Arabidopsis thaliana: one gene and its partner. The protein of the gene in region 2 interacts with the protein of the main gene of each other region in a biochemical or structural test. Each region holds a gene or a part of one and is shown on either strand. Other genes may lie near its edges.

Region 1 (6,173 bases), 3.8 Mb from region 2:
AGAAAGACCTAACCCTATAATAACTCAAGCAGCTAGGCAAATCTGCAGCCCAAAGAGGCTTCCCAGACACATAGGTTCCAGCAGGACCGTACTTATTGGTATCACACCTAAAGGAAAAGTACAAAGAAGCCAGATAAAACATGTCGAGATCAGTAAGAGCTCCTGATTTCACCAAACGATGATCTTCATCTGAACCAACGAACGACAAGTGAAGCTTGCGAAGCACACGTCTTTTGATCTCATCTTGCTGAGAGTAATCCTCACCTGAAGCACCCTTTTTGACACGGCAATGACCATCTCCCCAGATCAAGACACAACCATCAGAGCTATTAACGTTGGACGCTAGCCAGAAAAGAGCATAATCCCAATCAGATCCTTCAACAACGTGACGTAACCCTTGTTGGAGATTGGAATCACTTGGTGGTGAGACAAGCTTGGACAAGGCAGTGTTGGAAGCTGAAGCTGTTGAGATGAAAAAGTCGCAAGCTTCAGAGCCTATGGTGGATTCAACCATCGCTCGATCTTCTTGATTCTCCCAAAACTTTTGACCCATTTCTCCTGAAACGTTCATTGACATGGAATATACAAAAATTAGGGTATGGAATCAAATAAAATTAAAGGTATTTGGATTGAGATCGCTGCTTACAAATGAGATAGAAGATGATGGGTTTCGTGAGGAAGAGGAACGAGAATCACGTGATTCTTGCTGAGACACCGAATTTAGGGTTTGTTGGTGAAAAAGCAAAATCCTTTATAAAGGATATAACTCTAATTTATATTGCTGAGAAAGGAATGATCAAAGAGAAGACAAAACCTGAGCTTGGTTCACTTCAGATCTGTAGTGACTTGTTCTGAAATTGACGAAGAAAGAAGAAAAGAGGAAGAGACTATGCGAGAGAGAGAATATGGGTTTAATCGTAATTTAATACCAAGGACATCATTTCCTTCAGTTTTTTAACTGCAAACTATACTTTTGCCTTTTCTTACATACCAAACCACAAGTCATTGTGGTGTAATATCTATTCAACTACAAGTAAACCCATATCACTGGATTTTTGTCGAGATTATGTGTACATGTTGGGAAATTATTTCGTAGTACAACCTATTATGATGGGAGAATCGAAACTCGTCTTCTGAATTAACTTATCGCAAATCACCGTTAATAAGCGGAAAAGGAATTTACACATCTTACAATTATGCGCAAATACAATTGTTAATTGGATGAGTCATGCCATATTCTTGAGATGGTATGATAGGTATCATTACACCATGTAGTCAATCACGATTTTTTTGGATAATGTGGTTTAGAAGAACTAATCGCGTCTAATATAGACAAACTTATTCGTTCAGCAAAACAACAATTCGATATTTTTATTCGATTGACATGAGTCTTATAAAATTTATCACTAGATGTCTAATAAAAAAGGTTCAAACATTTCTAATAATTCGATTTTCGACCAAAATAAGAAACTTTAAATTAGCATCAAACTATCTTATATGGTTGTTTCCTTGCTTAACCTTCTTCCAAATCAATTTTTCAAATTAGCATCAATAAGATTTTAAAATACATCATAATGTTGTTCCGATAGTGTGTGACAACACTAACCATTTATTCCTATACAAGTTTATTTACTTGCTAATTCATTTACTGAAAATGTCCATGAACAAAATACCTAAAAACGAATAACCATAACCCAACCAAATATTAAAGACATCTCCATCAAGAAGAAACCCAAACAGTTTTTCAAACAAAAAGAATATTAGTATTTTATTATAATTTTATATATGATTAAATTTTTATTTTAGCGAACCAATTGAAAAGAGAAAAATATTATGATGGTTTGTATAAAGTATTTCATAGTTTAACGAGAAACATTCTACACTCTCTTTCTTTTCCTTTTATTATTTTTATTATTTTAATAATAAAAAATTACCAATAAAAATGGTCTATCTTAGCTTTTTTTTCTTCATTTTTTTTTCCCTCAACCACCATTCAACAATTAACATAAAAAATAATAGTTTTTTAAGTTGAAGTTATAAGAGTCAATTTAGTTTAAGTCATATGCTTTAGTAATAAGCATGACCGTCTAATCCCAAAAAATCTAAAAAGTACAGTGCCTTAGAAATTTCCTTTACCTCGACTTCCCTAATTTTAATCTTCTCGGTCGGAACTTCTGAATAATATTAGTAGAGATCCAAAACCTCACAAATTTCGACCGAGTTTTGTTGAATTCCGATTAGATCTTTCTTCCACGAAACCCCCCCAAGTACCCATTCCATCTTCTCCGGTGAGTCTCCCATGTTGGCATTACGCTAGGGTTCTTCTTCTCTGTGGTTTCGCATAACCCAATAATCCAATTTTCTACTTGGGCATCAATGGGTCGCTCTCGAGGGAACTTCCAAAATTTCGAAGACCCTACTCAGAGGTTTGTTCCTAATTCACTACTCTAATTTCCGATTTGGGGTTTTTGTGGATTTCTCTTTTGTAATTGCCAATTTGTGCTGAAATTGATTTGAATTTCAAGTTTCTTTGAGTCTGTGTTGTGCAATTGTCATTGATCTCTAGTTGGGACAATGAGCATGGCTTCAAATTTGTGGCTTTTGATAACTTTCAGTAGCTATAGTCTCCTCTATCTTCATCTATGTAATTGTGCCAATTTCTGCTGAAATTGATTGATTTTGAAGTTTCTTTGCATCTGCTTTGTGCAACAATCATTGATTTTTCAGTTGGGACAATGAGCATCGCTTAAAGTTTGTTGCTTTTGAAAACTTTCAGTAGCTATGTAGTCTCTTCTCTGTTTTCATCTGTGTAATTGTTTTTTCACTGTTGAAGCTGACATGAAAGAATCGTGTTATGCGTTTGTTGCAGAACGAGGAAAAAGAAAAATGCGGCTAATGTGGAGAACTTTGAGTCTACTTCTTTGGGTAAAAAAATACTTATCAAGGTTTTTTTTTTTTGTTTCTCCTGTCAAGATTCTTCTTTTACTCAACATTTTTTATTTGTGGAGACAGTACCAGGTGCTGAGGGAGGAGGGAAGTATAACTGCGATTATTGCCAGAAAGACATTACTGGAAAAATTAGGATAAAGTGTGCTGTCTGTCCAGATTTTGATCTCTGTATAGAATGTATGTCTGTTGGAGCAGAGATCACTCCTCACAAATGTGATCACCCATACCGAGTTATGGTTAGTTTTCATTTACTTTTCTTACCTTTTAGTTTGGAAAGAGTTTGATTCATTATACTTAGCGAAAATATCTTTTGGTTGAATTCTACCAAAGCTTAATATATGTTTCATTTGCTTTGTTAGGGAAATCTAACTTTCCCGCTTATTTGTCCTGACTGGAGTGCGGATGATGAAATGCTTCTCCTGGAGGTACCACTACTTCTTTTATCGTACTGATATGAAGTCTATAATGTCTGATTCTTTCAGTGAAAAGTAATTTCTTTTAATGTCTTTATTCAGGGACTTGAAATTTATGGCTTGGGAAACTGGGCAGAGGTTGCGGAGCACGTGGGAACGAAGAGTAAAGAACAGTGTCTTGAGCACTACAGAAACATCTATTTGAACTCACCATTTTTCCCACTTCCGGTATGCTACATCGATCTGATAAGATACCTATCTACCTCAGTAGTGCCAGCCTTTTGCAAGGTATTAACTAATTCAGGAGAAACGTTTATTTTCCCAGGATATGTCACATGTAGCAGGGAAGAACAGAAAAGAACTTCAAGCCATGGCTAAAGGACGCATTGATGACAAGAAAGGTATGCGCTTCTTTGCTTGATGGTTTTGATTCTGCGTTGTACGTGTTGCTATTTTAATTCTGATTTTGAAGTGGTTTCTTCTTTGGCAGCAGAGCAGAACATGAAAGAAGAGTACCCGTTCTCTCCTCCTAAAGTCAAGTATGTTTCTCGTTCTTCTCATGTACTGTACAGTGATAACCCTATAATTTTCTCATCTTTTGTTCAATTTTCTTGCAGAGTTGAAGACACACAAAAAGGTGAGTTCTTGCTTTGTATGCTATATCTGGTTCGTATATAGGTGTGCTTATCGTTTTGTTATTTACTTGCTCTAGCTTACACCAGTAGTTATAATCTAGTTAACCATCGCGTAAATGGAATCATCTACTTGTAAAGTAAGAAGCTGACTGAGCATAATTTTAAAATCCAAAAAGGCCCAATATTTGTCATTGTATTTATACTGGTAGATATTTTCTCCCTTTTTCTATGTTTTGACATTCTTTGTGGTTAGAGTCTTTTGTAGACAGAAGTTTTGGAGGGAAGAAACCTGTTTCCACCTCGGTAAACAACTCTTTGGTTGAGCTGAGTAATTACAACCAGAAAAGAGAAGAGTTTGACCCTGAATATGACAATGATGCTGAGCAACTCTTGGCGGAGATGGAGTTCAAAGAGAACGATACTCCTGAAGAACATGAACTGAAGCTGCGTGTGTTGCGTATCTATTCAAAAAGGTACAACATTTAAGATCAAAAGGGGAACAAAGTCTCTTCTTTTTGCTGTCCATTCTGACGCAGGTGAGTATGATGTTTGTAGGCTTGATGAGAGGAAACGTAGAAAAGAATTCATAATAGAAAGAAACCTGTTGTACCCAAATCCCTTTGAGAAGGACCTGTCTCAGGAGGAGAAAGTACAATGCCGACGTTTGGACGTTTTTATGCGTTTTCATTCAAAAGAGGAGCACGACGAGCTACTCCGTAATGTTGTAAGCGAGTACCGCATGGTGAAACGGCTCAAAGATCTCAAGGTAAGGACATTGCTACCCTCAAACTGTGCGTTTGGTTTCTTGGATTGGATGTGGCTCACTGTGTTGGATTGGTGGAGCAGGAAGCTCAAGTGGCAGGGTGTCGTTCAACGGCTGAAGCAGAGAGGTATCTGGGAAGGAAGAGGAAGAGAGAAAACGAAGAAGGGATGAACAGAGGGAAAGAGAGCGGTCAATTTGGTCAAATTGCAGGGGAGATGGGCTCTAGACCACCTGTGCAAGCTTCTTCAAGCTATGTGAATGATTTGGACTTGATTGGGTTCACGGAGTCGCAACTGCTGTCTGAATCCGTAAGTGTCTGAGAACTGAGATACTGAACAGTGTGAGATGAGTTTTCTGTCGTTGTAACTGAAAGAAGAAAGCTCTTTGTTTTGCAGGAGAAGCGTCTCTGCAGCGAGGTCAAGTTGGTTCCACCGGTTTATCTACAGATGCAACAAGTGATGTCACATGAGATATTCAAAGGGAATGTAACGAAGAAGTCGGATGCATATAGCCTTTTCAAGATTGATCCAACCAAAGTGGATCGAGTTTATGATATGCTTGTGAAGAAGGGTATTGCTCAACTTTAAGGCTTGTGTAGTGTTGTATCATATATATATATGTGTGAGCTCTAATGAGTTATTTGTTGACATTCCCTTGTTTATTACACCTTGTCAAAATTAGTTTGTAATAGAAAAACGATTAAGTTATCCACAGATTGTGAAAAGAGATAAGGTGAATCAGAGCCACACAATCTAAACCAAATGTTTTAGTATATAAGAAAGAATCTGACTCCTACAAGGAAAGGAAGAAGTGAGATGACGATGATGTCTCTCCCCAAAATGAGACTATCTTGTCTGCAACCACACCTCCATTTTACCAGTAGCAGATCAATAGCAGCAGCTCTAGCTTTTCCAAGCTCAAGCATAAGGAACAGAACATCATGTCTTGTTCGGTGTGGCTCAGCCAGAAGAAGATTGACTACGAAAAGTAGCAGAAACAGCAAGCTTGAAAGAGCACAACCTCCTCCTCTGGGTTTGGAACGGCACTGGAGATATGCTGTGGTTGGTGGAGTCTCTGTAGGGTTGATGATGGTTTTGGTATTGGGAATGGATGCAGAGAAAGCTATGGCGCTTGGACCAGAAGGTCCTTTAATGGAAGAGTTTTGGGACAACGTTAGAAGGTACGGTCTTTACGCTCTCACGGTTAGCACTGGAGCTCTCTCTGCTGTCTTTGAGCCCATCTTTGAGCTCCTCAAGAACCCAATCTCCGCCATTCTCATTCTACTCATCTTAGGTGGTAGCTTCTATATCGTCTCTCAAGTTGTTTCTGCCATGATTGGTGTCAACGAATTCGCTTATCAATACAGTTATTGACCAACTATAGTTTGTTTTTGTTTTCTTCATTAATACTCTG
Region 2 (3,552 bases):
AAATTATGATTTTAGTGGAAAATAGAAAGTAAAGAGTGAAGTGACGCGACACGTGGTACGAGACTCCACAGCGAGCCACGTAAGGGGGGACAAAGAAGAGAAGGTATGGACAATGGTTTCCGCGGTCGAGCCACGCTTTCAGAATTCTGATTGGCACTGGGTTATCTTGTGGAACCCATCTGAAAGATATTTTTGGTTGTCGTACGGATTTGTTTATTTCGGGTTTGTTGAATTAGTTTGTTTCGGTTTTATACACTATTTTAGGAAACTTTTTTTTATATTCTTTATAGTGAACTGGGCTGAATTTTTTTGGTTGCTAGATTCGAGACGAGCCAATTTATGTAATATTTTGTGGCTTTCTGTTGCTAAATTGTAAGATCTGTAACTTACATGAGATAGAATAAAATAATGTAATGCAGGTTTTGTGGCATATTTACAAACATCATCCACGTGTAATGATCTGTCCACATATTTTGCCTTGAAAGCAACTACAATATGACTTTTAATATCTTTTTTGTTAAATATTTGACTTTTAACTTATGTGAAGCAAAGAAGTAGAAAACGATTTGTTTTGTATTGAATTATTTTCCACTCGTTTCTACAACAATAAAATAAAATAAAATGAAGGAACCATTCTAAAAAAAGGAACTAGAATATTTTCAAACTATAGTACAAAAATGGAAACGACTATCGAATATTAGTAACTCCAAAGCGACACGTCACCATCTCCTTCGCCGTCATAATTATGATTCCATTGAACAGACGGCGGCGGTAAAAGCATGCCTTCAGCCATATTATCCAACAAAGTCGGCATCCCAAACATTGTCTCCTCATCCATATAAAACGCACCTTCGCTCTGTTCCGGTGTATAAATAGCTTCCACCATCGTCTCCTCCATGTCCAGGCCATGATTCGTGGTCGTCGTATCACACGTCTCATCTTGAAAAGCCAACGCCGCTTCAGCAGCCGCTTTTTGGATATCCTTGGCGCATGTTGACTCCGGGATTCGTAGCCGCCAAGCCGAGTCAGCGAAGTTGAGACATGCTGATCGGCCACGGAGGGCTAATGCAGCGACGTCGTGAGCACGAGCTGCCATCTCAGCGGTTTGGAAAGTCCCGAGCCAAATCCTGGTTTTCTTGTTTGGCTCTCTCACTTCAGAAACCCACTTACCGGAGTTTCTTTGACGAACTCCTCTGTAAATTGGGTGACGAGTCTCACGAAACTTCTTACGGCCCGCCGGTTTCTTCGGACAACTCGTGGCCAACGTCGGACAATAATCTCCGCCTTGAGGCTCGTAATCGGAGCCAAACATTTCAGAAAAAGCTGAAAATGAGTTCATTGATCAGAGTACTCTGTTTCAAGAAACTGGATAAGGTTTAAGTAGTACGTAGTTACTAGAGTTCTCAGTCTTTTTGGATTAATAAAAGATAGTATATCTGTCTTGGTAAAGCTATTTATATCTCTCTCTCTTTTTTTTCTTTTCAGGTAGATTCTTTTTCAAGTGTGTAGTTAGTATAAAAAGTGAGAGTGAGAATTGGTGTTTATATTGGCCGGAGGAGAGATAACGGATATGTGGGGAGCACACGGAGTTTTTGTCTCTGTGAATGACACGTGTATAGTACATAGCGAAGCAATCCCACGATGTTCCACTCGCTGTCTGACGTGTGTCCTTTGACCCTTGTAAAGAGACTTTTGACTCTTCACTCGTTAACCTTTATGAGTTCTTTAAATTCTATCGAGTGTGTGCCTGTGTGGTTGGCTGGCTGCTGTTGTTACAATCGTTTTTAAATTCCTATGAATAAACAAATTGTCATTAATTGTCACCCGTCTATAACATAATAGACATAAATATCTCTGTGAAATGATATTTTAAATACTCATGTAGTATTTGTATTGGAAGTAGATGTCCTAATATTTAACCAAAAATAATACTACAATATAGAAAAGCTTGATTTTTTAAAAAAATTAATCAGATTTGGTAATGGATAATTATCAATTTCGATGGACGGTTAAAAATGAGTCATAAATGCATATGATGAACAAAATTATTCAGTTTAAACAAACTATAACCAAAAACATGTAAATGGACCAGGACAGGACTAAGCGAAGGATTAGACCAATACAAAATAGCAAGTTATCTTGAATCCCAATAATTCCCACAAAATATCTCAATCTCAATAATAGCTATATTGTATTGACAAAAAAAAGGTATAAAAAATCTTCACAATAAGATATGCATGAAATATATTCGCTGACAAAAATATCTCTCTCGTTACCTCTCGCTCTCACGTTATTGACATTTAGGAGAAAAGAAGACACAACAAAGAGGGAAAAAAAGAGTGGTAAGGTGAAGAAAACAACAAAATTGGCTTTAGTGGAAAATAGAAAGTAAAGCTTGAGAGTGACGTATGGGGCCAGTGAAGGCTGGTGGGGAAGGTAGGGACAGTGTTTCCGCGGCCGAACCACGGGTTTAGAGGATTTTGACGTCCCCACGCATTATCTTGTGGAACCCATCTTTCTGTTTTTGGAAAATCGTACGGACGTTCGTTTTTGAATTATTTGCTGAATCGGGTTGTTTGGGTTTCTACTCTGTTTTGGGATTCTTCAGTGGATTGGACTGGATCTTTTGTAGCTTTTTGTTGGTAGATTTGAGACGCCTCTATTTTATGAATATCTTAATAGCTTTTTGTTGCATATTCAAGCGAGATAAGAAGATAATTGAGGCTTTATGGCATATTTGAAAAGTCGAAACTCGTTCTCATTCCACGTGTGATGATATGTTCGTGGCCACATATCATTCGGCCTTGAAAGCAACTACTAAACTCTTAACATAAGTGAAGCAATCCAATGAAGAGGAAAACAATTTATTTAATTAATTGTAATATATAAATATACACATTTCTTTATAACAACAATTATTAAACTTACTAACAAACTCATATGTTTCATCGAATCCAAAACTTGACATGTGGGATCTTGAGAGTGTTAAGTTGCAAGACTTTTTAAAAACTTGTATGCATTATTCATTGTGTAGATGTTATGTGATACATGTTCTAGTTCTATTAATCAGTATATTCTAATCAAAATTAAAAAATCTAATATTTGTTTGTCTTCATAATCTGTTATTGTTTTGTTTTTTTAGAAAGCAGCTTCAATTTTGTTTACTTGTTGGGCTTCTTATAATTTGTTTAACATATAGGCCCAATACTCCTAAAAAGTAGACGTTCTCGACTTCTCGTCCTTCAGACAAAATAAGAAAGTCAAAATGTGTTCTGAAAAAAATATCTTTGAAACTAAAAAGAAAAGAAAATAAAATAAAAATCCAAATGATCTCTCTTGCCTTCTTTATCTAAATCGTACCTAACTCTGTTTTCAGTTTCACCTATCTCTCGACGCGAGCTTCTTCTTCTTCTAGGGCTTCCACGCGACTACGCCTGCCAAAATCATTCTACAGGTAAATTGATGCAGTTTATTCACTCTCTATATCGTCGTGGTTCTCATCTCCTTCTTCCTTCTTTTTTTTTTGGTTGGTGAAAAGTAGAACAAGAGAAT

What was found. Proteins that work in one complex are often made in the same cells at the same time.
Region 1: the proteins of CBF1 (region 2) and ADA2B form a complex in vitro, tested with the Arabidopsis thaliana proteins (one study listed by BioGRID).

The regions. Positions count from the first base shown.
Region 1 is NC_003075.7:9,261,979-9,268,151, reverse strand, and holds ADA2B (ADA2 2B), read left to right. Parts: upstream 1-1,994; 5' UTR 1,995-2,376; coding exon 2,377-2,426; intron 2,427-2,869; coding exon 2,870-2,925; intron 2,926-3,012; coding exon 3,013-3,185; intron 3,186-3,308; coding exon 3,309-3,374; intron 3,375-3,464; coding exon 3,465-3,590; intron 3,591-3,687; coding exon 3,688-3,763; intron 3,764-3,852; coding exon 3,853-3,901; intron 3,902-3,979; coding exon 3,980-3,999; intron 4,000-4,250; coding exon 4,251-4,470; intron 4,471-4,552; coding exon 4,553-4,763; intron 4,764-4,843; coding exon 4,844-5,068; intron 5,069-5,155; coding exon 5,156-5,347; 3' UTR 5,348-5,531; downstream 5,532-6,173. Other genes in the region: AT4G16430 (basic helix-loop-helix (bHLH) DNA-binding superfamily protein), read right to left, coding at 1-553; AT4G16410 (uncharacterized protein), read left to right, coding at 5,576-6,133; AT4G16400 (uncharacterized protein), read right to left, coding at 6,050-6,086. UniProt on the Arabidopsis thaliana protein: Required for the function of some acidic activation domains, which activate transcription from a distant site. The exact mechanism of action is not yet known.
Region 2 is NC_003075.7:13,021,224-13,024,775, forward strand, and holds CBF1 (C-repeat/DRE binding factor 1), read right to left. Parts: upstream 1,774-3,552; 5' UTR 1,340-1,773; coding exon 698-1,339; 3' UTR 557-697; downstream 1-556. UniProt on the Arabidopsis thaliana protein: Transcriptional activator that binds specifically to the DNA sequence 5'-[AG]CCGAC-3'. Binding to the C-repeat/DRE element mediates cold-inducible transcription. CBF/DREB1 factors play a key role in freezing tolerance and cold acclimation.